Linked DNA regions of Macaca mulatta. The protein of the gene in region 1 interacts with the protein of each later gene in a pairwise test. Links are inferred from orthologs where the notes say so. Each region holds a gene or a part of one and is shown in the gene's direction. Other genes may lie near its edges.

The links.
Region 2: the proteins of TRIM63 (region 1) and TCAP interact in a two-hybrid assay, tested with the Homo sapiens proteins (3 studies listed by BioGRID and IntAct). The link is inferred for Macaca mulatta from reciprocal best matches to the Homo sapiens genes TRIM63 and TCAP.
Region 3: the proteins of TRIM63 (region 1) and CKM interact in a two-hybrid assay, tested with the Homo sapiens proteins (2 studies listed by BioGRID). The link is inferred for Macaca mulatta from reciprocal best matches to the Homo sapiens genes TRIM63 and CKM.
Region 4: the proteins of TRIM63 (region 1) and MYBPC3 interact in a two-hybrid assay, tested with the Homo sapiens proteins (2 studies listed by BioGRID and IntAct). The link is inferred for Macaca mulatta from reciprocal best matches to the Homo sapiens genes TRIM63 and MYBPC3.
Region 5: the proteins of TRIM63 (region 1) and MYOZ1 interact in a two-hybrid assay, tested with the Homo sapiens proteins (2 studies listed by BioGRID and IntAct). The link is inferred for Macaca mulatta from reciprocal best matches to the Homo sapiens genes TRIM63 and MYOZ1.
Region 6: the proteins of TRIM63 (region 1) and MYOT interact in a two-hybrid assay, tested with the Homo sapiens proteins (2 studies listed by BioGRID). The link is inferred for Macaca mulatta from reciprocal best matches to the Homo sapiens genes TRIM63 and MYOT.
Region 7: the proteins of TRIM63 (region 1) and TNNT1 interact in a two-hybrid assay, tested with the Homo sapiens proteins (2 studies listed by BioGRID and IntAct). The link is inferred for Macaca mulatta from reciprocal best matches to the Homo sapiens genes TRIM63 and TNNT1.

The regions. Positions count from the first base shown.
Region 1 is NC_133406.1:214,956,506-214,960,005, forward strand, and holds part of TRIM63 (E3 ubiquitin-protein ligase TRIM63), read left to right. Parts: intron 1-60; coding exon 61-229; intron 230-1,030; coding exon 1,031-1,126; intron 1,127-2,766; coding exon 2,767-3,000; exon of another isoform or gene 3,001-3,018; intron 3,019-3,500. UniProt on the Homo sapiens protein: E3 ubiquitin ligase. Mediates the ubiquitination and subsequent proteasomal degradation of CKM, GMEB1 and HIBADH.
Region 2 is NC_133421.1:64,014,218-64,017,060, forward strand, and holds TCAP (telethonin), read left to right. Parts: upstream 1-1,134; 5' UTR 1,135-1,155; coding exon 1,156-1,265; intron 1,266-1,511; coding exon 1,512-1,905; 3' UTR 1,906-2,343; downstream 2,344-2,843. UniProt on the Homo sapiens protein: Muscle assembly regulating factor. Mediates the antiparallel assembly of titin (TTN) molecules at the sarcomeric Z-disk.
Region 3 is NC_133424.1:57,842,517-57,846,649, reverse strand, and holds the start of CKM (creatine kinase M-type), read left to right. Parts: upstream 1-1,333; 5' UTR 1,334-1,644; intron 1,645-2,504; exon of another isoform or gene 2,505-2,654; intron 2,655-4,133. UniProt on the Homo sapiens protein: Reversibly catalyzes the transfer of phosphate between ATP and various phosphogens (e.g. creatine phosphate).
Region 4 is NC_133419.1:18,245,413-18,249,574, forward strand, and holds the start of MYBPC3 (myosin-binding protein C, cardiac-type), read left to right. Parts: upstream 1-1,362; 5' UTR 1,363-2,286; coding exon 2,287-2,509; intron 2,510-3,634; coding exon 3,635-3,901; intron 3,902-4,162. Other genes in the region: SPI1 (transcription factor PU.1), read left to right, coding at 1-286. UniProt on the Homo sapiens protein: Thick filament-associated protein located in the crossbridge region of vertebrate striated muscle a bands. In vitro it binds MHC, F-actin and native thin filaments, and modifies the activity of actin-activated myosin ATPase.
Region 5 is NC_133414.1:75,910,093-75,914,243, forward strand, and holds the start of MYOZ1 (myozenin-1), read left to right. Parts: upstream 1-1,351; 5' UTR 1,352-1,710; intron 1,711-3,153; 5' UTR 3,154-3,171; coding exon 3,172-3,244; intron 3,245-4,151. UniProt on the Homo sapiens protein: Myozenins may serve as intracellular binding proteins involved in linking Z-disk proteins such as alpha-actinin, gamma-filamin, TCAP/telethonin, LDB3/ZASP and localizing calcineurin signaling to the sarcomere.
Region 6 is NC_133411.1:146,725,692-146,729,891, forward strand, and holds the start of MYOT (myotilin), read left to right. Parts: upstream 1-1,400; 5' UTR 1,401-1,533; intron 1,534-4,200. UniProt on the Homo sapiens protein: Component of a complex of multiple actin cross-linking proteins. Involved in the control of myofibril assembly and stability at the Z lines in muscle cells.
Region 7 is NC_133424.1:67,454,997-67,458,496, reverse strand, and holds part of TNNT1 (troponin T, slow skeletal muscle), read left to right. Parts: intron 1-841; coding exon of another isoform or gene 842-916; coding exon 917-980; intron 981-1,511; coding exon 1,512-1,628; intron 1,629-1,854; coding exon 1,855-1,932; intron 1,933-3,500. UniProt on the Homo sapiens protein: Troponin T is the tropomyosin-binding subunit of troponin, the thin filament regulatory complex which confers calcium-sensitivity to striated muscle actomyosin ATPase activity.

The DNA.
Region 1 (3,500 bases):
GCTGGGGAGGGGGATGCAGGACACAGGACCCCCATGACTTGTGACTGTTCTCCACTGCAGTCGGCCGCTGCAGAAGGGCAGTCACCCCATGTGCAAGGAGCACGAAGATGAGAAAATCAACATCTACTGTCTCACGTGTGAGGTGCCCACCTGCTCCATGTGCAAGGTGTTTGGGGTCCACAAGGCCTGCGAGGTGGCCCCATTGCAGAGTGTCTTCCAGGGACAAAAGGTACTGGCTCCAGCCACTTTTACCCCCAGCCTGGGCCTGCTGGGCAGGATGATTCAGAAGGCAGATTTGATCCCTGTAGATCTGCTGATCCGGCCTTTCAGGAATAGTCCCTCTGGAGGGACTTCCCAGGCCACAGGGACAGCAGCCCTGGCCCTCCTTGGGGGAGGAAGCTGAGCTCATGGTTATACTTAGAGCCACTCGAGAGCACCTGGCTGTGGCCAGAGGGGAGCGGTCAGACGCCCCAGCCAGGCCACTGGGGTCCTCTCGGGCCACGGCTTCTCCATCCCCCAGATACCACTTCCTGTGCCTCTCACCTCTTCTCCTAGACTTCGCATTCCCCAGCAGCAGGAGGCAGCTTAGAGCCTTTTCGCTGGGGCCTTGGGCCTGTGGGGGCCTGCCACCCTGTCCGTGCAGTCAGCAGTAGCCACCCCCTTTCCATACTCTCTCTTCCCCACTCCGCACTCTTCTCCAGGTCTCTGTCTTCTAGACGTCTCCAACTCTATTTCTTTTTTTTTCCCCTTCTTTCTTAGAAGCAAGCCCCTCCTCTGCCAGTTCCTTGCTGTGTGTTTTGGGCAGCCCACTTGCCTGCTGTTGGCCTCATCTGTTAAATAAGGGATACAGTATCTTTCTAATATCCTCTGCTCTGAAGCTGAGCAGTACCTGAAAGAGGGGCCAGATCCCTGCTGGAGGCTCTTTCTAGCACAGAGGGGAGGGAGGGAGCCAGGTTGCTGCCATGCCCCGGTGGGTAGGCCTTGAGGCTATTTGTATCTCTCCTCTCCTGACCCCCACACCCCCATCTAGATTGAACTGAATAACTGTATCTCCATGCTGGTGGCGGGGAATGACCGTGTGCAGACCATCATCACTCAGCTGGAGGACTCCTGTCGAGTGACCAAGGTGAGGGGACAGAATAGTTCTGCCTGGGGGTTTGGAGCTTTCCAGGGCAGCCTGGTCTCTGGGGAAGGCTCACCCATGGGTTGTGGCTAAAGGTTGGGGCCTGGAGCCTGGGGGTCAAGCAGGAATGGCAGGGGAGGGACTAATCCATTCACCCACTCTCTCAACAAATGCTTCTTAAGCACAGCTGTGTGTCCGGCCCCACCCGAGATGTGGGGGATGGAGGAATGAACCAGACAGACATGGTCCCTGAACTCAGGGAGTGTCCCATCAATAGTTCTCAGTGTTTATTCAGCACAAATTGTTTTCAGAGCACCGTTCTTTCCTATAGACCAACACTTCCCAAACTTTAAAGTGCATGAAAATCACCCTGGGATCATGTTGAAATTCAGGTTCTGATTCAGTCAGTTTGGAATGAGGCATAAGAGCTGCATTTCTAGCCAGTTCCCAGGATTTGCCCAAGCTGCTGGGTCCACGGACCACACTTTGAGTAGTGAGACTGTTGAGGGCAGAATGGAACTTTTCTATCCCTGAAAAAAGCTTCCATGATTTTCCATGTTCACCTGGGGTAGGGACCTGGAGATGAGATGAGGGGAAGGGGTCGTCATAATTGCTAGTGGACCAAGAGTCGGGCGAAGGGTAGGAAGGAGGGGAACATTCTGATCACCCATGAACCCATGAGAGGCTCCTGGGTCTGATGAGATGCTATTGTCACACCCATTTTACAGAAAAGAACATAGAAGGGAGCGTCAGTTGAGGAGGGTGCTAGGAAACGAGCTGTTTTTCCACCTCTCCTAGGACCAAATGATGCAGAGCTTCCTGAATCCAGTCTTGGTCTTGAAAGGGAGGGAAGAGTGTGATCTGAGACAAACGGGAGGCCCAGGAAACTGAATGGAAGCAAATACATTCATTTGCTGAAAGTCACAAAGCTAAAAGGGAAACACAGCTAAAAGGCAACGGAGAGCTGGGCGCAGTGCTCATGCCTGTAATCCCAGCACTTTGGGAGGCCAAGGTGGGGGGACCATGAGGTCAGGAGATCGAGACCATCCTGGCCAACATGGTGAAACCCCATCTCTACTAAAAAATACAAAAATTAGCCAGGCGTGGTGGCGCACCTGTAATCCCAACTACTCAGAAGGCTGAGGCAGGAGAATCACTTGAACCTGGGAGGTGGAGGTTGCAGTGAGCCAAGATCGCACCACTGCACTCCAGCCTGGGTGACAGAGCAAGACTCCATCTCAAAAAAAAAAAAGAGAAAGAGAGGGCAGATCCCACGTTGGTGACTGTTGCATTGGTCTGAGAAGTGATGCTCCAGTGACCAGCTGAGGTTGGGGGACAGGGGGAGGGTGCAGGAACAAGGAAGAATATGTAATGTCATGTGACCCTAGAGCCTCTATTTTGGAAGAAGGGGCTAGCTGTTTTTCAAGGCATCAGCCTCCAAATATCACTGGTGTACTAAGTAGCTGTGAGGCCAGATGAGTGTTTTCTTCTTGTTAAGCCTTTGTTTCATCTTCTGTAGTGTGGGGATGTATGTAGTGAGATCTCTTCTAGCTTTAGATTCCTTGCTACTGTACCAGGAAGGGAGTGTAGCGGACAGGGAGTAAGGACCCTACAGAATGTGACTGCAAGACTTCCGTCCTCAGGAGAACAGTCACCAGGTAAAGGAAGAGCTGAGCCAGAAATTTGACACGCTGTATGCCATCCTGGATGAGAAGAAAAGTGAGTTGCTGCAGCGGATCACGCAGGAGCAGGAGGAAAAGCTCAGCTTCATCGAGGCCCTCATCCAGCAGTACCAGGAACAGCTGGACAAGTCCACAAAGCTGGTGGAGACGGCCATCCAGTCCCTGGACGAGCCTGGGGGAGCCACCTTCCTCTTGGTGAGCAGGACTAGAAGGGTCTGGGTGGGGTCAGTTCAACTCGACAGCTCTAAGGTTCCAGTTATGCTTCTCCACTGACCACCCATGGACCCTTGGAAAAGTCATTTAAACCTCTGTGAGCCTCAGTTTCCTCATCTGTCAAATGGGCATGTAACACCCCCCACCTTCCTCTTACTGATTTTATGATGATCAAATAAGAGGATATTTATGAAATGACTTTGTAAGCTGCAAAATACAGTGTCCCATCTACGGACTATTAATTGAGCCCCTACTGTAGGCCAGGCACTGAGGTGGAATACAAGGAGATAAACCAGACACAGCCCTGCCCTCAAAGAGCTTGTTGGGGAGGACAGAAAAGCCTCAGTTATAAGACTTCATAGTTCAGTTCAATAAAAATGTTCTAGGCTTCTCCTGTGGGCCAGGCTTTGTGCTAGACATTAGGTATGAAAAGGTGGTTAGGATTGGGGAGTTCAGGGTTTAGGAGTTTTTGGATTGATACC
Region 2 (2,843 bases), on another chromosome or scaffold:
GCTCAGTAATCAGTAGTCTGCAATTCTGCACCCAGGTGGGTGCCCATGGGCCTTACCTGCTCCTGGGTACTCTGCTGTCCCCACGGGGTCCTGAGCTCAGCCCCTGTCACTGCCTCTCCTGCTGCCCTTTGCTTTGTCCACTCGGCAATGTTCTCACTCATCCCCCCACGCCTACCACCTGTGTGCCAGCTTCTTGGACCATGAGTTGCCACTCCTGGGGTGCTGGACTGTCCCCACAGCCATCTGTCTCCCCTGCTCCCCATGAAGGAGAGCCAGTCCCCTCCCAGGTAGCACATCAGAGCTGGCAGGCTCCAGAGGTCTTCTGGTCCTCTTGTAGTGGCCAGAAAGTGGGGAAAGGGGCCCAGAGAGGGGCAGGAACTGACACATGGTCACACAGGCTATTTATGGCTGATCTGGAGCTGGAGCCAGGCCTTCTGTCATCCATCAGAGCCCCTGGATTTCCATTTCACCCAACACAGGGTGTTGGGGTAGAACTGGAGGCCCCCTCCACCCCTACTGTCCTGTCTCCTAAGACCACTTATCTGACCACCAGCTGTGGGGAAGGAAAACACTTGACCAAAGCTTATGCCCCAGGTTCCCAGGTATGGAATTGACTTCCTCTGCCCCTGCTGGTGTGGTGAGGGTGACTGGGGACGAGGCACTAGGCCTTCGGTGCAGGCGCCTGAGGACGTGGTTGCACTGTCCCTTCTGGGGATGTGCCCTTGAGCCCAGGCAGAGGAGAGCACAGCCAGGGCAGGACCTGGCAGCCCTGGTACAGAGCCCAGAGGGGGCATCAGTTCCTGCTGGTCCTGTTCTGTTTACAGACAAGCTGCTGTCCTCCCTGCAAAGGGGAGTGGGTGGGGCAGAGGGCAAGTGCCAGGGGGGCACGAGGCTGGGCATGTGGCTGGCCTGAGACGGTGTCTGAGTAATGTCAGGCACCTGGAGGCATAGGGCCCTGAACCCCAGACCTCTGACCAGGGAGCAGCCAGCGTCCAGGTACCCTAACCCCTGCCCTGGGTCCGGCGTCCCCCCATTAGTGAGTCTTGGCTCTGCTTATAGCATCTGACACCAGAGGGGCCGAAAATAGCCCCTGGAGAAGGGGGAGGAGGGGGCTATTTAAAGGGCCTGGGAGGGGAGAGGGAGTGAGGAGTGATCATGGCTACCTCAGAGCTGAGCTGCGAGGTGTCCGAGGAGAACTGTGAGCGCCGGGAGGCCTTCTGGGCAGAATGGAAGGATCTGACACTGTCCACACGGCCTGAGGAGGGGTGAGTGTGGGTCTGCCAGAGTCCTGCCTCTGCTCCTCCAAAGCACCCTCACTGAGCCCTGAGGCCAGAGCATGAAGCCCTGGAGAAATTTCTGGGGGTGGGGGAAGGAAGAATGCCCCATGGGAAGAGCAAAGGGGAACCACCCCTCCCGCTCCCAGGTCCCAGCAGCCCTGGGGAGCCCCCCACCCAGCCTGTTCCCGGAGAGCAACAGCTCCCAAGAACTCACTGCCCCTCCCCTCTCCCTAGCTGCTCCCTGCATGAGGAGGACACCCAGAGACATGAGACCTACCACCAGCAGGGGCAGTGCCAGGCGCTGGTGCAGCGCTCGCCCTGGCTGGTGATGCGGATGGGCATCCTCGGCCGTGGGCTGCAGGAGTACCAGCTGCCCTACCAGCGGGTACTGCCACTGCCCATCTTCACCCCTGCCAAGATGGGCGCCACCAAGGAGGAGCGCGAGGACACCCCCATCCAGCTGCAGGAGCTGCTGGCGCTGGAGACAGCCCTGGGTGGCCAGTGTGTGGACCGCCAGGAGGTGGCTGAGATCACCAAGCAGCTGCCCCCTGTGGTGCCTGTCAGCAAGCCCGGTGCCCTTCGTCGCTCCCTGTCCCGCTCCATGTCCCAGGAAGCACAGAGAGGCTGAGAGGGACTGTGACTTGGGCTCCGCTGTGCCCGCCCTGGGCTGGGCCCTTCCTGGCTAGGACTGTGGAGGGGAGCTGCTGGCCATGGCTGCTTTGTAGTTTGCCCAGAGTTGGGGGTTAGGGGAGGAGGGAGCCAGAGGCCAGGATGCCTGAGCCCCCTGAGTTCCCAAAGGGAGGGTGGCAGAGACGGTGGGCACTAAGGGTGGAGAGTTGGGGGCCAGCACAGCTGAGGACCCTCAGCCCCAGGAGAAGGGACAAAAGATACTGGTGAGGGCAAGAGGTGCCTGGGAGGAGTGGCCCTGATCCAGGAAAATGTGAGGGGAATCTGGAATGCTCTAGGCAGAAGAAGCTGGGAGAGAGGGGGAGGTGAAGAGGGCAGAGGCAAGGATGGTGGGGCCCCCAGCACCTTCTGTTAGTGCCGCAATAAATGCTCAATCATGTGCCAGAGTTGCGTCTCTTTCCTTGTGGTTGTCGGGGCTGGCCCATGGGTGTCCCCCCAGTGCCCACTTCTGGGACCAGGCTCTGCATCTGAGCTAAATATGGCAGAGCTAATGAGTACGCCCCATACTTGGGGTGGGGAGGCCAGGACAGAACTATAAACAGAGTGCTGTCTCCAGTCTCCTTCCCGTACCCTGACCCATGTCCAGTCCTGGCTTCTGTGTTCAGCCCCCTGGCACTGGGTGGTACCCAGCAAGCCAGCTGGCATCCAGAGTTTGTTTCAACGATGTCTCGTGGAGAATATAGAGGGGCTGGTGCCAGGACTGTCCTTGGCTTTGCCTCAGGGTGTGAAGAGGGTCAGTGACCTCAAAGCTAACCTGCCTCTCAGTTCTGAATCCAAGCAGAATCAATCCTCGGCTGTGTCTCGACCCACCCTCCCTGCCCTGGAAGCCAGGGAAGGTTGGAGGTGCTAGGGGTCAGGTTCCTCTCTGTGACCCCTGCA
Region 3 (4,133 bases), on another chromosome or scaffold:
CTGTGCTGTTCCCTCCTCTGTGACCCTCTTGAAATATCACCTCCAGGAGGGTAGGGGTTTTGTGTTTTGTTGTAGCCTCAGGAAGTGCCTGATCGATTATTGTTTTGAGACCAGTTCCACTTAGTTTTCTGGGCCTCAGTTTCCATAACCATGAAGGAGACCCTTGCCGATCTGAGCTTGCTGGGAAAGGGCTGGGCCCCGTGTAACATTTCTAAAGCACCCCTCTCCCCTCCTCCCTCAGATCAGGAGTCTGGGGGAGAGGCAGAGAGGCTCCCTTTCTCTAAGCCAGTCCTCACCTGCCTAAGAAGATACAAAGGAGACCCAGGAGACCCTGGGAGAGGGAGGAACCCGGAAGGAAGGGACATTCTTTTCTTCACAATCCTGGGAGCTCCCTGGAGGAGGAGACCCAATCAGCCTGCAATCTTGGCGCGTCCCAGGAGGAGAAAGCGGCTTCCTCTATACTGTACCCGCCTCCATAGAACCTCCCTCTCAGCCCTGGAAGTCCTTGGTCACAGCCGAGGCGCCCAGAGTGCTTGCTATGCCCAGATCTGCGCGAGTCTGGCACTGGCACTCTGAACCGCATCGCTGCCCAGCCCCCTTCCCCGGGAGGTGGGAGCAGCCACCCAGGGCCCCGTGGCTGCCCTTGTAAGGAGGTGAGGCCCAGGGACACCCGAGACGCCCAGTTATAATTAACCAGGACACGTGGCAAAGCCCCCTCCAACACCTGCCCCCGAACCCCCCCATACCCAGCGCCTCGGGTCTCGGCCTTTGCCGGGAGGAGACAGCAAAGCGCCCTCTAAAAATAACTCCTTTCCTAGCGGCCGAGACCCTCCCTGTCCCCCGCACAGCAGAAATCTCCCAGTGGCACCGAGAGTGCAAGGGTTAAGCGGGGGGAGGGTGACCACCGCCTCCCACCCTTGCCCTGAGTTTGAATCTCTCCAACTCAGCCAGCCTCAGTTTCCCCTCCACTCAGTCCCTAGGAGGAAGGGGCACCCAAGCGCAGGTTTCTGGGGTTAGACTGCCCTCTATTGCAATTAGGCTTGGTCAGACCCTCCCTATAGGTGGTGGCAGCAGGCGGCCACGCAGCCTCTCCCGGCCTCTGCTTCCTCCTGCTCACAGGGTCCCGGGTCCTCCTGGAGCAACAGCATGGCTCCCCCAGGTGCCGCTGGGACTCGGGTAGGGGTGAGGGCCCAGGGGGCACAGGAGGAGCCGAGGGCCACAGGAGGGGCTGGTGGCTGGAGGAGACTCAGGGGCCAGGGGAAGGTGGCTCTACGTGCTTGGGACGTTCCCAGCCACTGTCCCATGTTCCCGGCGGGGGGCCAGCTGTCCCCACTGCCAGCCCGACTCAGCACTTGGTCAGGGTATCAGCTTGGTGGGGGGGCTTGGGCCCAGCCCCTGGGGCAGCTCAGCCCATACAAGGCCATGGGGCTGGGCGCAAGGCATGCCTGGGTTCAGAGTGGGCATGGTGCCCGAGCAGGGAGGTGAGAGGCTCAGCTGCCCTCCAGAACTCCTCCCTGGGGACAGCCCCTCCCAGCCAATTGCACAGCCTAGGTCCCCCTATATAACCCCACGGCTGCAGGCCCTTCCTTTGGGTCAGTGTCACCTCCAGGATACAGACAGCCCCCTTCAGCCCAGCCCAGCCAGGTACTGCACGGGGTGGGAATCTGGGTGGGAGCCAGAGTAGGGGATTTCTGTGGGTGCTAGAGGCTGTCTTGGCTTGGGAAAGGGCCTGTGTGTCACCCCTTGCTCCACCAACATCCTCCTATACAAAGGCAGGTCGGTGCATGGGAAGGTTGACCTTGTGTGTCTGGGAGTCCCCTCCATCTGTGAGGACGCCTGAACCCCCGCTGGGACCTGTGATTTCTGCGGCACAAGTCTTGGGTTATGGGGAGGGATCCCAGAGATGAAAGGGGTCCTGACAGCTGCCAACTGTCACCCCCTGCAAGGGGCTGTTGAGCCAGGCCCGCGTTCATTACGGTTTGTCGCCAACACTGGCGCCACAAGCCGTGGGAGGTGTGTCTGTCGCCTAGCAGAGTCTGCAAGAGCAGGTGTCACGGGCTTCTTTGCGTTTGCTACCGTGTAGGTCTCTGTGACCTTGTACTGACTTGGTAGCGGACACATGAGTGCCTCTATCTTGGGCGTGTCCTTGAGCTTGGAAGTGTGACTGTGTGACTCAGTTTACAGTGTGATCTGGGGAGTCTGTGGTGGTGGGGGTATGTGGCTCTGAGGCTTTCTGCTTATGTCTCTTGGGGGGGGTCCCCCACCTTGCCTCAGGGCCCTCTCCTGGCGTGTCCCTGGCAGGGACTGGGGGGGGCATCCTCTGAAGGGAGGGGGTCTGGGCTGCCAGCCCGGGATGTCCTTGAGCCCCGGAGCCGAACCCCGGGGCCTGGACCCGTGTCCTCCCAGCCACCCTGGCCCACCTGTCTTGGGCCTGCTGACTTGGTGCAAGCCGAGCCCCGGAATGTGGGGGTGGGGAGGGGCAGCAGCTGGGGGTGGGGCGGCAGGCAATTGCCAGAGTCTAAAAATAACCACCCTGGACAGCAGCGCCCAAGGTCTTTGGCGGGTCCCTGTTCCTCTTCCCTGGCCTCAGCTCACCATGGTCCCAATTTCCCTCCCACAATCCCACCTGCTTCCTATCCCCCTCTCCCACCGCTGTTGGAGGTCCCTTCTCCTTTATGGGTCCAGTGAATAAAATAATAATAACAATAGGACCTGGCGCAGTGGATCACATGCATAATCCCAGCATTTTGGGAGGCCGATGCTGGAGATCACTTGAGGCCAGGAATCCCAGACCAGCCTGGGCAACATAGTGAGACCTCATCTCTACAAAAAAAAAGTAGTAACAACAATAATAGCAGCCACTAGGGTTCCAGGCTCCAACTCCATGCCAGGGCCTGTGCTCAGCCAACCTCACGGCCAAGCTCAGAGGATCCTGGCAATCCTATGGGGTAGGCTCAGTTCACAGGAGACAAGGTCCAGAGAGGCCTAGTGACTGGCCTGGGGTCATACAGCAGGAAAATGGCATAGGTGGGATTTGAACCTGGCTCTGACGACCCAGAGGCTGAGTTTTTCTTCCCTGCTGAACCTTGTGGGAGAATTGTCAGCAGGCAGAGGTGGGGGCGGCCACCCAGCCCTCCCCCGACCCAGCCCCTTTGTCTTTGGATTGATCATCCAAGAACTGCTCACATACTCACTTCCAGCAACACCCTCACCTCCACCTTCTCACCAGCTCCTCACACAAACGTTTAAAATAACAACAGGCCAGGCGCGGTGACTCATGCCTATAATCCCAGCACTTTGGGAGGCAGAGGTGAGCGGATCACTTGAGGTCAGGAGTTCAAGACCAGCCTGGGCAACATGGCAAAACCCCATCTTTACTAAAAATACAAAAAAAAAAAAAAATTACCTGGGTGTGGCGCACGCCTGTAGTTGCAGCTACTTGGGAGGCTGAAGCAGGATAATTGCTTGAACCTGGGAGGTGGAAGTTGCAGTGAACTGAGATTGCACCATTGCACTTCAGCCTGGGTGACAGAGAGAGACTCCGTCTCAAACATAATAATAATAATAATAATAATAATAATAGCTAAGTGAAATAATGCTTATTGTGAACCAGGCACTGTTCCGAGAGCTATACCTGCATTCACACATTTAATCCTTTCAACACTGCCATGCGGCGGGTGCTGTTAGGATCCTCATTGTCCAGCTGAATAAACTGAGGCACAGAGAGGTTAAGCAACTTGCCCCCGGGCACACAACTGGTTGTAGGTAGCAGAGCTGGGAATCAAACCCTGGGCCGATTCCAGAACCTACGCTCTTACCCACGCATGATATTTTTCCAGCCTCCGTGTGGGGCCTATTTTCCACCTGGGGAAATTGAGTCTCCAAAAAGAATGACTAGTCCAGGCTCACCCAGCTGGGATGTGGCAGAGCCGGGCCCTCGATCTAAGACTCCTGATGCCTCCTGCTGAGACGCAGGGGCTGGGAGAGAGGATTTCGCTTGCTCCAAGTCACACAGCCTGCCTGACCCCAATGCCTCTTGCTGCTGTTTGCAAGATGTGAGGTAGGCGGGGCACAGTGGCTCACGCCTGTAATCCCAGCATTTTGGGAGGCCGAGGTGGGTGAATCACTTGAGG
Region 4 (4,162 bases), on another chromosome or scaffold:
GTTGGACCTGCTCCGCAGCGGCGACATGAAGGACAGCATCTGGTGGGTGGACAAGGACAAGGGCACCTTCCAGTTCTCGTCCAAGCACAAGGAGGCGCTGGCGCACCGCTGGGGAATCCAGAAGGGCAACCGCAAGAAGATGACGTACCAGAAGATGGCGCGCGCGCTGCGCAACTACGGCAAGACGGGAGAGGTCAAGAAGGTGAAGAAGAAGCTCACCTACCAGTTCAGCGGCGAAGTGCTGGGCCGTGGGGGCCTGGCCGAGCGGCGCCACCCGCCCCACTGAGCCCACAGCCCCCGCCGGGCCCCGCCAGGCCTCCCGGCTGGCCATAGCATTAAGCCCTCGCCCGGCCCGGACACAGGGAGGACGCTCCCGGGGCCCAGAGGCAGGACTGTGGCGGGCCGGGCCTCGCCTCACCCGCCCATTCCCCCCACTCCAGCCCCCCTCCACATCCCGCTTCGCCTCCCTCCAGGACTCCGCCCCGGCCCCGGGAGGCCACCTGGGCGTCAGACCCCACCGGGGCAACCTTGCTGAGGACGACCCGGGGTACTTCCTTGGGAGTCTCAAGTCCATGTGTAAATCAGATCTCCCCTCTCACCCCTCCCATCCATTAACCTCCTCCCAGAAAACAAGTAAAGTTATTCTCAATCCATCCTCTTGCAGCACGGAGTCTCTTTTAAAATTTGTTGTACACCTCTTCTGGCCCGTGTGTGCTGCGACGTCTCTCTTTTTGTCATTTGTCCATCGGGTGTTTACTGAGGACTGTACCCAATGCTGGACCCTGGGAACATGAGGACCAATGACACAGGCGCCTGACCAGGAGTTAGAGTTTGGTGGAAAGAACAAGTCCTCGATTGTGATGAGGGAAACAGATCCTATTTAAAAGCTCTCTACTCCTGGTGGTAGTTGTTGGTTTTAAGCCTTGATGAGGTTTGAACTCATTTGATGATGATGATGATGATGATGACCATAGCAACAACATTGGATTTTCTGGTCAATTAGTACCTGCCAACCTTGAGATGTGGAGTCTAATATCACTCTATAGAATGGGAAACTGAGGCTTGTAGAGGTCAAATTATTTCCCCAAGGTCACAGCCGCTGAGTGGCCAAGTTGGATCACACTCCAGGTCTGTCCCCGACACGTCAACATGGAGTAGGAGGCTTCGCTTATGTGGAAGAGGATACTCTTCAGCATTCCAAGGACAGGCCTTAAGCCCCAAAGCTCCTGTGGGTCACACAGCATTCTCATGAGCTGCACGCCTAGCAGGACTTTAGACCCAGGTGAATCCCTGGTGGGACCCCCAGGGTCTGTTTGCTTTCCAGCTCCTCGCCACAGCAGGGGAGAAACAGACCGAGCTGAGCAGAGAAGCCTGTGAGTCCTGTGTTTTCCTTCAAGAAGTGGCAGTAGACAGCACGGGAGTGAGAGGCTTCCCAACGCTGTCAGACACCTCAGGGAACCCAGATTCTGGGGTCATCACCGTAGCGGCAAATGCCCCTCCACACCTCCTCACCCTCAGAGGGCTCACTGCAGCCCAACCCTGCAGCTCCCTAGTCCTACTTCAGGGCCACAAGAGAAGGCAAAATGGTGTTGTGTCTTCATTATTCTATTTTTATTTTTATTTTTTTTTGAGACAGGGTCTTACTTTGTTGCCCAGGCTGGAGTGCAGTGGCACGAACACGGCTCACTGCAGCACTGACCCCCTGGGCTCAAGCGATTCTCCGGCCTCAGCCTCCCCAGTAGCTGGGACGACAGGTGTGCGTCACATGCCTGACTGATTTTTGTATTTTTTGTAGAGATGGGGTTTCATCATGTTGCCCAGGCTGGTCTCGAACTCCTGAGCTCAAGTGATCTGCCTGCCTCGGCCTCCCCAAAGCCTCCCAAAGTGCTGGGATTACAGATGAGCCATCACACCCGGCCTAACATTTTAAAAATTATAAACCAACCTCATACGTGTGACAATCCTGTGCAGTGGGTGCTGCTATCACCTGCCCTGCTTTACAGATGAGGAAACCAGGTGCTTTGAGATTAAAGAGATGGCAGTGCCAGGACTCAGAGTCACCCTGGCCCCACGGTCTGTGGACATGACCACTGCCTGAACTGCCCGCAAGGATGCTCCTGACCCGTTAGCCTTAGGGTTATGGGCCCAGCATGCTCCCACCATACAATTTGCTGTAAGAGGGACACACACAGGGCTAGGGGGTACCCCTGAGACTCGCCAAGGGTTGGGGAGGCAGAATTGTGCTGAGGGGGGTGGAGGGGAAGGGACAGGAGCCAGCCAGGGACAATGTGGCCCTACCTTCTCCCTGGAGAGACCTCAGCTCTCTGGAATCTATCTATATTTAGCAGGTGGCTGGACAGGAGGCAGATAAGCAGAGCCTGGGGAGGGGGGAGGTCCCCATATATAGTGGGAAGGACAAGACCCCACTCAGTCCCTCTTTGGGTGACCTGTGCCTGCTTGGTGCCTGGTGTGACGTCTCTCAGGATGCCTGAGCCGGGGAAGAAGCCAGGTAGCTTTAGGACTAGGGTTGGGTCTAAGTGGGGGAGCAGGGGGGTGTCCACAATTGGGGAGCAGGGCTAGGAGGGAGTTCTTGAGGGGGCTGATGAGGACGTGGCCTCTGAGCCCCAGGACAGGGGCAGCCAGTCCTCGGGGGTCCTTTTTGATTCTCGGTTTCTTTTTCCTATCCCTCTGACGAGAGGTGAAGGTAAACCCAAGGTCAGGGACACAGACAGAGGACGCAGCCGAGACAGGAAGCACCCGGGGTCAACCCATTCTGAGAACGCAAAGGACCCCTTCCCTGTCCCATTTCCCTCGCCTTCCACAGCAAGGTTGCCCGCAGACAGAGCCCGTGTTTAGTGTGGAGCTGAGCCAGGCTCACGGCATGCCTTCGGACCAGCCTCTACCCACTCTGGGTCTCAGTCTCCCAACCTGGGGCGCTGGGGGTAGTGGCGGCGTTGGGTTGGTTCCTCCTGGCTGTGACATTATCTGCTTCATGAGCCTATATGGTGTGGCCCCCATGTTGAGGGTGACACAGCCCCTCCTTCTCTGAGAGAAGACAGTCGGGAGCCCCAGAACCCAGGCCAAGGGCAGGGAAAATCACAGCCCAGGGTCCTGGGCCTGGGCTATGCCCTTACCAAGGTTGTCCAGGGCAGAGATCCAGGTCCCCATCCCCCAACGCCCTCCTAGGCCAGCTTTATCTCAGTTGCTGATTCTCAGCCTGAGGTCCTTGGAGGACAAATTTGGCCACATTCCAAGCAGGCAGAATTCCCCGCCCCCTGCCAAGGGCCCCAGATGGTGGGGGGAAGGGAAGTCGAGTCCATCACGGGTGTCTCCAAGCAGGGAAAGTGGAGTATCCAGGGGACACATGCAGCAAAAGTCTTGCGTGGAGGTCAGGACCACAGCCCTGGCTCTTCCGGCTACTAGCTGTGTGATCTTGGAGGAGCTGCTTAGCTTCTCTGAGCCTCAGTGTCCTCTGAGAAATGAACAGAATAACTGCAACTACCTAGGAGAACTGGTGGAGTATTACACGAGGGGATGCGTGGAAAGTGCTAGCACAGTATTTACTAAGAGGGGCTGCAGGGGTGGGGTGCACGCTCCAACCAGGGGCCGCTGTAGCCTCCACCTGGCCCTACAGTCTCAGCTTTCAGCAAGAAGCCACGGTCAGTGGAAGTGGCCGCAGGCAGCCCTGCCGTGTTTGAGGTGGAGACAGAGCGGGCAGGAGTGAAGGTGCGCTGGCAGCGCGGAGGCAGTGACATCGGAGCCAGCAGCAAGTATGGCCTGGCCACAGAGGGCACACGGCATACACTGACAGTGCGGGAGGTGGGCCCTGCGGACCAGGGCTCCTACGCAGTCATTGCTGGCTCCTCCAAGGTCAAGTTCGACCTCAAGGTCACAGAGGCAGGTAAGATTCTGGTCAGGCTTCCCTGAGGTTCAGGCTCCTGGGGGGAGGGACAGCCCAGCACCTCTCTATCCATCCAGGGAACAGGAGGTACTTTCACACTTCCTTGCCTTTGCTGTGGCTGTGCCCCCCGCCAGGAATCCCCTTTCCCCCCTTTCTTTACATGACCTCTCTGAGTACCCCAGGTGCCATCCTGGCCTGTTCCAGCCATGGGGTAGGTGGGAGAGATGAACAAGACACAACCCCAGTCTCCCCTTGCAGACC
Region 5 (4,151 bases), on another chromosome or scaffold:
ATAATTTTTTAAAAAGCCAGCTAGGCACAGTGGCTGATGTCTGTAATCCTAGCACTTTGGGAGTCTAAGACAGGAGGATTGCTTGAGCCCAGGAGTTTAAGACCAGCCTGGGCAACATAGCAAAACCCTGTCTCTACAAAACATATGAAAATTAGCTGGGTGTGGTGGCATGTACCAGCAGCCCTGGCTACCTGGGAGGCTGAGGTCGAAAGATTACCTGAGCCTGTGGAGGCTGAGGTTGCAGTGAGCCCAAATTGTGCCACTGCACTTCAGCACAGGCAACAGAGTGAGACCCTGTCTCAAATAAATAAACAAAGCCACTTCCTCAGGTAGCAGCAACAGGGTGGTAGTGGCTGCAGCAGAAGTGCTGCCACAGCTGGTTCCAGAATCTAAGCAGAAGGTGGAGGAAGATCATGCAGCTACTGAAGACGGAGCTGGGCAAATGATAGGCTTTCCCCAAGGGGGGGCTCTGAAGCTTGTGACCCTGCCCAGAAACTCTGCTGGAACAGTACAAATGGCACAGTCCAGATCCTATGTGGTATGTGCTCCCTTTGAAGGAAATATCACATAGAAACCTCAGAGAGCCTATATGTGCTTCTCATGGAGAAATCGATGTCTATCCCGCCCAGCAGGTTGAACTGAGCACCTCAACAGCAAATGGAGGTTAAAAGGCAGATCCTGGCTGGGCGTGGTGGCTAGAGAATAACTCCTTAGAGACTAGATCCTGGCGGTGGCTCACGCCTGTAATTCTAGCACTTTGCGAGGCCGAGGCGGGTGGATCACCTGAGGTCAGGAGTTTGAGACCAGCCTGGTCAACGTAGCGAAACCCCATCTCTACTAAAAATACAAATATTAGCTGCGCATGGTGGCAGACACCTATAATCCCAGCTACTCAGTAGGCTGAGGCAGGAGAATCGCTTGAACTAGGGAGGTGGAGGTTGCAGTAAGCCGAGATCGCACCATTGCACTCCAGCCTGGGCAACAAGAGTGAAACGCCATCTCAAAAAAAAAAAAAGGCAGATCCAAGTATTTGCCTTTTCTTAAAACTGCCAGAGCTCAAGAGGAAAGAATAGAGTGAGGCAGACAGAATAATTGTCAAGTATTCCCCACATAATTCCTTTGTAGGAGGTACTGGGTTTGCTATCCAGGAACTTTAAAAGAGCAGTTCCATTGTGAAGACTTCCCTTTTTGTCCCCAAACATAGAGCTTTAAGCCCTCCCTGCCCCAAATACACCCACAGGTCTCTCTACTCTGCCCTGGATTGGCTCTGTGTGGCCCTCAGGGCATGTTCCCCAGACTCTCTCTCTGACTGAATTCCTATCCAATACTTGCTGTCTACTTCCTGTCTCCCTCTCAGTCTTCAGTTTCTACCTAAGTGCTTGTTTGGATCTCAGGCTCTAGGTGCAATGTGAAGGGGAGTCCCTGGGCAGACTGATTCCTGGCTCAGACAGTTCAGTGGGGGAATCCCAAAGGCCTTTTCCCTCCTTCCTGAGCCTCTAGGCAAAGAGGGAGGGATCTTGGTTTCAGGGTCTCAGTACCCCCTGTGCCATTTGAGCTGCTTGCACTCATCATCTCTATTAATAACTAACTTCCCTCCCCCACTGCCAGTGCTGCCCCCACGCCTGCCCAGCTCGAGTTCTCCGGTCACAGCAGCTCAGTCCTCCAAAGCTGCTGGACCCCAGGGAGAGCTGACCACCGCCCGAGCAGCCGGTAAGTCTGCAGCTCTATCGTTAGAAAGGTTGGAGCCCACTCTGTTGACTTCTATTTCTGTGTCTACAATTGTGATTCTTGATCCTGGGGGAGTCTCCCCTCTCCTCATCTATGCTCAGCTCCCAGCTGTCCAGTTGGAAGGAGGGGGCCCAGGAGTTTGGGGGGAATGGAGATGTCGGGGGAGGCACTGGAAGAATGGGAAGGGAGACCCCACTAAGTCAGTAGAGTTGCAGATGTATTTTTGTGAGACAGGACTTAGAAGAGGACAGCATTTCACTGAGTGCCAACTTCTCTTAAGAAGGGACTGGAGTCTATCTTATCCCAGTTTGTCCCTTTCCATTGCCAGATCCTATTACTATGTTTCTGCCCCACCCCAATTCCCCACTGCTATGATATTGCTGAATTTACATGTGTCGGGATTTGGATGCTCCCTACCCTTCCCAATTCCACACCTGCCCCACTCTGGGGTCTGTGGCGGGAGTGATTGCAGGAGCAGGGCCATGACTTCCCAGGCCATGTTCCAGCTGGCCTGATGAAGGAGCAACAACCTCTCCTTCCTATGGAGAGTGTTTTTGGCTGAATCTCTTCAACCCTGGCAGAACATTTCTCTGTCCTCCTGGGGACTGGGGGAAGACTGAAGAGAGACCAGAGCCTGGAATCACAGTCCCAGTCTGATATCCCAATGCAAATAAAAACTTCAAATCATGCCAAGTTGATGAAACCTGGGTGCATTGCCCTGCCTGTATTATTGTTTGTTTGTTTGTTTGTTTTTTTTAAAACACTCCCTACCCCTAGCTATGTTCCTAATTCTTGCACTGACTCTATAAAAAACAGCTCACAACAAGTTGGTAGACAATAGGGGCTGGTGTGCATCTATACTTCCTGTCCTGCATCCCAGGAAAAGAGAAGCCCTAAAGCGCTAGTTTTCACCTTTTGGGGAAATACATACTTCTTTGAAAATCTGGATCAGGCGAAGTGGCTCGCCCCTGTAATCTCAGCACTTTGGGAGGCAGGAGGACTGCTTGAGCCCAGGAGTTTGAGGCCAGCCTGGGCAACGTGGCAAAACCTCATTTCTACAAAAAAAAAAAAAATTAGCCAGGCATGGTGATGCACACCTATAGTCCCAGCTACTCGGGAGGCTGAAGTTGGAAGATCACCTGAGCCCAGGGAGGTTGAGGCTGTAGTGAGGCATGATTGTGCCATTGTGCTCCAGCCTGGGCGACAGAGTACAATCCTGTCTCTAAAAAAGAAAAAAATATGTTTTTGTGCCATTGCACTCCAGCCTGGGCGACAGAGTGAGATCCTGTCTCTAAAAAAGAAAAAAATATATTTTTTTGTCCCCTCAAGCCCTTAAACCCAGGTTAAGAAGTAGTGCTCTCCTACAGACACTCACTCTTCCCAGTCCCTGTCCATCCTCCAAGTCCTCTTTCCCACCCTATCCAGGCTGAATCCACCTCCACAATGCCGCTCTCAGGAACCCCGGCCCCTAATAAGAAGAGGAAATCCAGCAAGTTGATCATGGAACTCACTGGAGGTAGGACACGTTTGCATCTACCTAGTGTGGGACTTCTTAAGAGCATCCCTAACCCAAGAGTCCCAGAAATATATATCTTAGGGTGAACAGACAAGAGAAATTAACTGGTGGGAAGGCGGGTGATGGAGAGTGGGAGAGGGAAGGGTAAGAAGGGTAGGGAGAAAGAGAGAAAAGATTCAACACCTTCTACCCTTTTTACTTCATAATCTGAGACAATACCCTGCCATGTTACCCTGCACAGGTCCAGGACCACAGGACCCATGAGTCAGTGAGGTATATTTGAGGAAGAAAATATAATGGAGACTGGCACAGACTCAGGTCTCAATAAGTGGTTAATTTCCCTTCTTTCCCCAGAGCTAGGGAGCTTATGTAAGTACTTAAAATGGAAAACTGCACAGGCATGTTTCCTGGGGAAGAGCAGGGGTGCATGCATGTGAAGAGCTCTTCAATACTTAGAGACTCTTTGGAGCCAGAGCTCACTGAGGGAAAGAAAAGGGAAAGTAGTTAAGACAGAAGTCTGGGCCAGGTGCAGTGGCTCACGCCTGTAATCACAGAACTTTGAGAGGTCAAGGCTGGTGGATCGCTTGAACTCAGAGATTTGAGACTGGCCTGGGCACATGGTGAAACCTCGTCTCTACAAAAGTACAAAAATTAGCCAGGTATAGTGGCATGCACCTAGAGTCCCAGCTATTCCAGAGGCTGAGGTGGGACGATTGCTTGAACCTGGGAGATGGAGGCTGCCGTGAGCTGTGATTGCGACACTACACTCCAGCCTGGGTGTCAGAGTGAGACTCTGTCTCAATATAAATAATACAAATAGGGCTGGAGCTGTGTCTCACACCTGTAATTCCAGCACTTTGGGAGGCTGAGGTGAGAGGATCACTTGAGCTCAGGAGTTCAAGACCAG
Region 6 (4,200 bases), on another chromosome or scaffold:
CATATCACTGGACTCCAGCCTGGGTGACAGAGTAAGACCCTGCCTCTGAAAAAAAAAAAACTAATAATAAAATAAAATGCTTGAAGGCGTGTCTTACTCATTATAAATGCTATATACTGGCTATTATTATTCTATCACTTGCATTTGCATTTTAAGTCTCTCTAATTTAGATGGAAAGGCTTTGTCTCTATTAATGGAATTTGAAATATCAGTGAACAGATGTTAAGGAATATTTTGGGAGACTCCTGAAATAAGACTTTGTAGGCAACCACCTACTCACCAAGTCTAGCATGTTTTTTCTACTAAGGGCTGCGCGCCCAGGCAGAAATTATCAAACTTTCTTTGAACACCAAAGAAAGGTACACCTACATGGTCAGCTGTGAAGAATTTTACATGGCTCATATGTGCTTAAACATCTATTTGCTGGACCCTAATGTACATGTTAATTCAATCAAGATTGGGGTATCTACTCATGAGGGAGGGGAACTGAAGCCACCCCATGGAGATAATTCTACTCCATTGGCCGGATCCTCATGCCACCTACCCTACTTCACCACGTTTGTTTATTCAACATTTTATTCTTCTGCAATTATTTACTTCCCTGCACAAAAATGGAAACCTAAATACCATGATGGTCTCCGTGACAAAAAGTGAAAGGAAACTATATAACTCTTAGGAGTAAAGGGAGATGAACATACATTGACAGCCCTAATTATATAGATTGCTTATTTGTTTGGTTGTTTCTTGTTTCAAAACTCTTTTAGAATAAAAGTACTAGGCGAAAGGGGCATATGCCATATGGATTCAGAAAACTTGCTAAAGAAACACAATCATGTTTTTCCACCTCCCTACCTTGCCAGTGACATGTCACTATGACCCTGGTCTCCTGCTTTGCGCAGACTGCCCTCACCTTGGAACAAATTGCTAGTACTGAGAGATCTCAAATCTATTATTGAATCCTACTCTCATTAGGCAAAAGAAAAAAAGACTTCAGATGAAGAATTATGCAATACAAATCAATTTGGAGCCCATCTACCACTGGTCTTATTCCTGGGGAAGTCTTAGTATAATAGATAGATGAACTCCACTCCTGAAATATTATTTCCCTTTTAGTCCTGTCTCTTAAATTGGGAAAATTCAAAGTCCCCACCATAATAAAGAAATAAGAGGGTTTTTTTCTATTTTTCCCATTTCCCTATTCACCGCCCTTCCCTCACATGAGCTTGCTAAAGTTCATAGTCAAAATTCACGTCTAAAATAAAGAGGCTTGAAAAGAAGCTCATGTAATCCCACTCCTTAAATATCACTAAGACATCTGAGATATTGTTTAGATTGTGGACTCTTACTTTGACATGCCAGCATAGGTAGATGGACAGGCAAGCACATCAGATGTCACTGTTTGGCAGCTGATAAAAGTCAGTGGTGCTATAATACTAAGCACAGAGCCACTAGATTAGTCTGTGAGGGAAGGAGATGCCTCTTCCTTCCCTTCAATAGTGGGTTAAACCCCGCTGGCACCCTCTGGAACTACGGGTAAGTCCCTTCTTTATTCCTACTACACTTTTAGGTCTTGTTTTTGTTTTCTGTCCAAATCAGATGAGTGTATACAAAGATGATTTTCAGATAAAAAGTTTCAAAGCCACAACATTATAATGATATTACATGAAGATTTAAAGAGAAAACGACTCATTCATTTCACTGAGCCTGGAAGGCATTATACAAATGATAGAAGGAAAGACAGCTGCGTCTCATTATTTTTAAATCACCATTTTTCCTTGAAAAGGGACACTTGATCTGATGTAATTGTGGTGATATCTTATGAATGCAACATATCCTCTATCAGTCCTCTGTGCAAATCTATGCTATATTAGAGATAGGAAAAAAATGTTAAGATTTTTAAAACAGGAGACTGAATACTACTTTATTTATAAAAATATTTGAAATTCATTTAACATTATTTGGAATAAAGTTATACTGTCAAATAACAGAATCTACTATAGAATTGTTGAACAGTAACTACAAACATAAAGAAAAGACTTACAGAATTACCTGTGTAAATGTCTGTATAAAATTTTGTTGACACATGGATAAAATGAAACTTATGAAATAACATATTTTTAATTAGGCTTTTAAAAATATCGCTAATTATTAACAATGTAGGCCAATATCAACATGTACAAGACAGTTGACATTCTGAAAATATATGTAAAGAAAAAAAGGGAACTGCTTTTGGAAAATATCTACTATTTCATAATTGGTTTATTCCTTGCTATCTGAAATGAGCCTCAATAATGTACCTGCCCAGAAAGAAATTTAGGAATCAAACTCTGGATTCAATTCTGCAACAGACTGAATAAACCGATAACTACAAAACTACTTGTCTTGATATAGACTTTTTTTTTAAGATCTACTCAAGGCCCTCCTGCAGGATGTTTTTCCCCAGCAATTTAAAATGCCTAAAGTAGTTCATTTCTAAAATGCATTCTAGTTTAATGTATTTGTGTTCATAAACTTGAAATTAAGGAATATTTAACTTTTTAAGTATTCTTTTTCAATAGCGTCTTTCACTTGGCTGCTTAGTTGCATTTCTGTTTTTTCCTAAAATTGCTAGTTTTAATTTAACTCTAAACTACATAGGCAACCTTGAAATACTATTTTTTGAAAGTATCCTATTATTTACGATGAAACTCTTTGGTCTGGAAAAGTTTTATTAACATTTTATCCAAGACAGTAACTAAAATAATTACAAGACTTCATTTCAATGATGACAAACAATTTGGTTAATTTTTCCGTTAAAAGTTTGATTTGTCATTATCTCAGTATTGGCTTATACAATGTGAAACAAAATAGGCAAATGTATTTTGAATCAATTTATCTGATATTTTCAATGAAAACAGGATTAGTGTTAAAACAATTTATAAGGCTAGTCTTTGTGTGTAATGTCTATATATAGTTCTGCTTAGGTTTACCATACTAATGGAAAAAAATCAGAGGCAAATACAATCCTTCAAGGTTGATTTTCATGGCAAATGTTTCATCTAAGAAAAAATGAGGATGTACTGTAGGAAGGCAGGAGGGCCACTACAGAGCTAAGCAGGAGGAATGGCACCTGTCTTTTCTTGGTAAGGTATAGACTAAATTCATACGTGTCTTATTTACTTGTATGCGTCCTGTTTGCCATTTGAAAAGAAAAAGTAAAACAGCAAAAATCAATTTCAAAATTAGTCTATCTGAGATCTCCAAAGGTGTGGCAGAAAAAAAAGAAAAAAAAGACCAAAAAACAAAATTAGTCTAAAATACATACTAAACAAATAATAAAAAGTAAAACTCTAAATAATTAAAAGCACATCAAGACCAACAACTAGAAAGTATAATCTAAAAATAACAGAATTATAGGGTATGATTCTGTTTAAAAATACATAATAAAAACAGAAAAATTTGTAAGTGGCTCTGGAATGCAGCCTGTAACATATATTCCACACAAACATATACATACAATCACTCCTTAATTAATATCTAGTTTAGTAATATGGTCAGTTTGGAATCAAGGAGAGAAAAAGCAGCAGTGAATTGTAAGGTTAAAAAGCAATCCACTCAGCTAGGTGCGGTGGTTCATGCCCGTAACCCCAGCACCAAGGGAGGCTGAGGCAGGAAGATTGCTTGAGGCTAGGAGTTTAAGACCAGTCTAGGTAACATAGTGAGACCCTGTCTCTATTAAAGAAAGAAAGGAAAGAAAAGAAAAGAAAAGAAAAAAGGAAAGGAAAGGAAAGGAAAGGAAAGGAAAGGGAAAAGGAAAAGGAAAAGGAAAAGGAAAAGGAAAAGGAAAAGGAAAGGAAAGGAAAGGAAAGAAAGAAAGAAAGAAAGAAAGAAAGAAAGGAAAGAAAAGAAAGAAAAGAAAGAAAGAAAGAAAAAGAAAGAAAGAAAGAAAGAAAGAAAGAAAGAAAGAAAGAAAGAAAGAAAGAAAGAAAGAAAGAAGGGAGGGAGGGAGGGAGGGACGGACAGACAGACAGACAGACAGACAGAAAGAAAGAAAGAGAGAAAGAAAGAGGAAGAAAAAAAGAAAAATTAGCCAGGTGTGGTGGCTTATACGTGTAGTCCCTACTCTGGAGGGTGCAGTGGGAGGATGGCTTGTGTCCAGGAGTTGGAGGGGCTGCAGTGAGCTATGATCACCTGGGTGACCAAGCAAGACACACAAAGAAG
Region 7 (3,500 bases), on another chromosome or scaffold:
GGTGAGCCGTATTGTCTTCCCACACATGACGCCCCGAAGGAGCTCATCAACTTTTCCAAGATGGAGATGGTAGCCCCACTGTGCACTTGGCTGCCTGGCCCAGAGACCACTGGGGATTGTCCTCACCTCCTCCCTCCCCTTGCCCAGCGACCCCTAAGTCCTGTCCCCTTCATCCTGGAATCGCTCTTGGTTGTCTCAGAAACCCAGAAAAGAGAATTCCAAGGAAGTGGCAGGAAATCAGAGCAGGCTGAAGGCTGAACCTCAGAGCAGCACCACCCAATAGAATAGATGGCAAGACACACACATCACTTACAATTTCTTACTAAAGGCCGGGCACGGGGGCTCACGCCTGTAATCCCAGCACATTGGGAGGCTGAGACAGGCAGATCGCCTGAGGTCGAGAGTTCAAGACCAGGCTGGCCAGCATGGTGAAACCCCATCTCTACTAAAAATACAAAAATTACCCAGGTGTGGTGGCAGGCGCCTGTAATCCCAACTACTCGTGAAGCTGAGGCAGGAGAATTGCTTGAACCTGGGAGGCGGAGGTTGTGGTGGGCCGAGATGGCACCATTGCACTCCAGCCTGGGAGACAGAGCAAGACTCTGTCTCAAAAAAAAAAAAAAAAAAAAAAAAAAAAAAAAAAAGCTTGCTAGGCATACTTTTAAAGTACAGCAACAACATAGGAAAATTTAATTTTCATAGCACAGTTCTAAAAATCTGTTACATAAATTTTTATCATTTCAACATGTAATCAGCATAAAACATGATTCTGTGCGTTTCACTGACAGCCTGCCTCAGTTGGGACCCTCCACGTTCAGGGGGCTGGCGGCTACCTCACCAGGCAGCGCATCCCGGAGGTGGGAGGTGGCTCAGGGAGGTCGGGCCACTCATGGTCTCTATGTTTCCGTCCACCCAGCCGCCCCGTGGTGCCTCCTTTGATCCCGCCAAAGATCCCCGAAGGGGAGCGTGTTGACTTCGATGTAAGTGTCAGAGACCCCTCCCCAGGCGCAGTTGCTAGTCTTCAAGGGGCTTTTGTTTCAATCATGAAAAGGCGCCGGGCTGGGCCGCGGTGGCTCACGCCTGTAATCCCAGCACTTTGGGAAATTGAGGTCAGGAGTTCGAGACCAGCCTGCTCAATATGGTGAAAGCCCGTCTCTACTACAAACACAAAAATTAGCCGGGCGTGGTGGCGGGCCGTCTGTAATCCCAGCTACTCGGGAGGCTGAGGCAGGAAAATCGATTGAACCCGGGAGGCGGAAGTTGCGGTGAGCCGAGATCACGCCATTTCACTGCAGCCTGGGAGAAAAGGTCCCCACTCCCCACTCCCCACTCCCGTCTTTGGGCAGCTCTGTCTTTGCAAGAGCTGATTAGTGTCAAACACGAGGCATTGCTGCCACCTGCTGGACACCACCTGGGAAACGGTCCAGTTCACCGTCCTGCATGGGGGAGGCGCTGGGAGGCCGCTGCCCTCTCCAGGGTCTCCCAGGACTGACTCCCCGTGTGTCCTGCAGGACATCCACCGCAAGCGCATGGAGAAAGACCTGCTGGAGCTGCAGACGCTCATCGACGTGCATTTTGAGCAGCGGAAGAAGGAGGAAGAGGAGCTGATTGCCTTGAAAGAGCGCATTGTGAGCCGAGAGACCGGGTGCCCCCCAGTCTTCCTCTCTCTCCCTTGCATCTTGGGAGATGCAGATAATGGTTTTCCTTCTAGTACAGAGCTGAGCCTGAGGCTTTCAGGAATTCATCCAAGTCGGTGGCCACACTCCAGCCTGTTTATCTCCACTCTTCACCCACTCTGGGGAGGGATGACTGGGGGTACGTCCCTGCACCCCTTTATTCTTCTCCGTTCCCCAGGAGCGGCGCCGGTCGGAGAGAGCCGAGCAACAGCGCTTCAGAACTGAGAAGGAACGCGAACGTCAGGCTAAGCTGGCGGTGGGTGCCTGCCCTGCCCTGGGAGTCCAAATGTTACTTCTTCAGCCAGATGCCCATTTTGTTGTTGTTGTTATTATTATTACTATTATTATTATTTGGAACTGAGTCTAGCTCTGTCACCCCGGCTGGAGTGCAGTGGTGTGATCTCAGTTCACTTCAGCCTCCGCCTCCCAGGTTCAAGCAATTCTCCTGCCTCATCCTCCTGAGTAGCTGGGACTACAGGTGCTCCCCATCACGCCCGGCTAATTTTTGTATTTTTAGTAGAGACAGGGTTTCACCATGTTGGCCAGGATGGTCTCGATCTCCTGGCCTCGTGATCCACCTGCCTCAGCCTTCCAAAGTGCTGGGATTACAGGTGTGAGCCACCGCGCCCCGGCCTATTATTATTATTATTGTTGTTGTTGTTATTTTGAGACAGAGTTTCACTCTCGTCACCCAGGCTGGAGTGCAATGGCGCGATCTCGGCTCATTGCAACCTCCGCCTCCCAGGTTCAAGCAATTCTCTTGCCTCAGCCTCCTGAGTAGCTGGGATTACAGGCCTGCGCCACCACACCTGGCTAATTTTGTATTTTTAGTAGAGACGGGGTTTCTCCATGTTGGTCAGGCTGGTCTCGAACTCCCAACCTCAGGTGATCCGCCTGCCTCAGCCTCCCAAAGTGCTGGTATTATAGGCATGAGCCACCACACCCGACCTATTATTATTATCTATGTATTTATTTGGAGGCAGGGTCTTGCTCTGTCACCCAGGCTGATGTGCAGTGGCGTGATCCTAGCTCACTACAGCTAGGACCTCCCGGGCTCAAACGATTTTCCCACCTCAGCCTCCAGAATTGCTGGGACTACAGGCATGCGCCACTCTGCCCGGGTATTTTTTTTTTTAATTATTATTTCAATTTTTTTGTAGACACAGCATTTTGCCATGTTGTCCAGGCTGGTCTTTAACTCCTAAGCTCAAGCAATCCAGCTGCCGTGGCCTCCCAAAGTGCTGGGATTACAGGCATGAGCCACCGCACCCAGCCTGGATTCTCCATTTTCTTCTTTTTCCTTTTTTTTTTTTCGAGACAGTCTTGCTCTGTCACCCAGGCTGGAGCGCAGTGACGTGATCTCGGCTCATTGCAACCTCTGCCTTCTGGTTCAAGTGATTCCCCTGCCTCAGCCTCCTGAGTAGCTGGGATTACAGGCACCCGCCATCCGGCTTGGCTAATTTTTGTATTTTTAGTAGAAATGGGGTTTCTTCATGTTGGTCAGGCTGGTCTCGAACTCCTGACCTTAGGCGATCCACCCCCTTGGCCTCCCAAAGTGCTGGGATTACAGGCATGAGCCACCATGCCTGGCCATTATTATTATTATTATTATTATTATTATTATTTGAGATAGGGTCTTTCTATGTTGCCCACGTTGTTCCCAAACCCTGGGCTCACGTGATCCTCTTGCCTCAGCCTCCCAGGTAGCTGGGATTACAGGCACAAGCCACCTGCCTGTCACCCAGCCGAGAAGGGGATTTTGCAGATGTGATTAAGTTAAGGATCTTGAGATGGGACAGTTGTCCTGGAATATTTGTGGGGAGG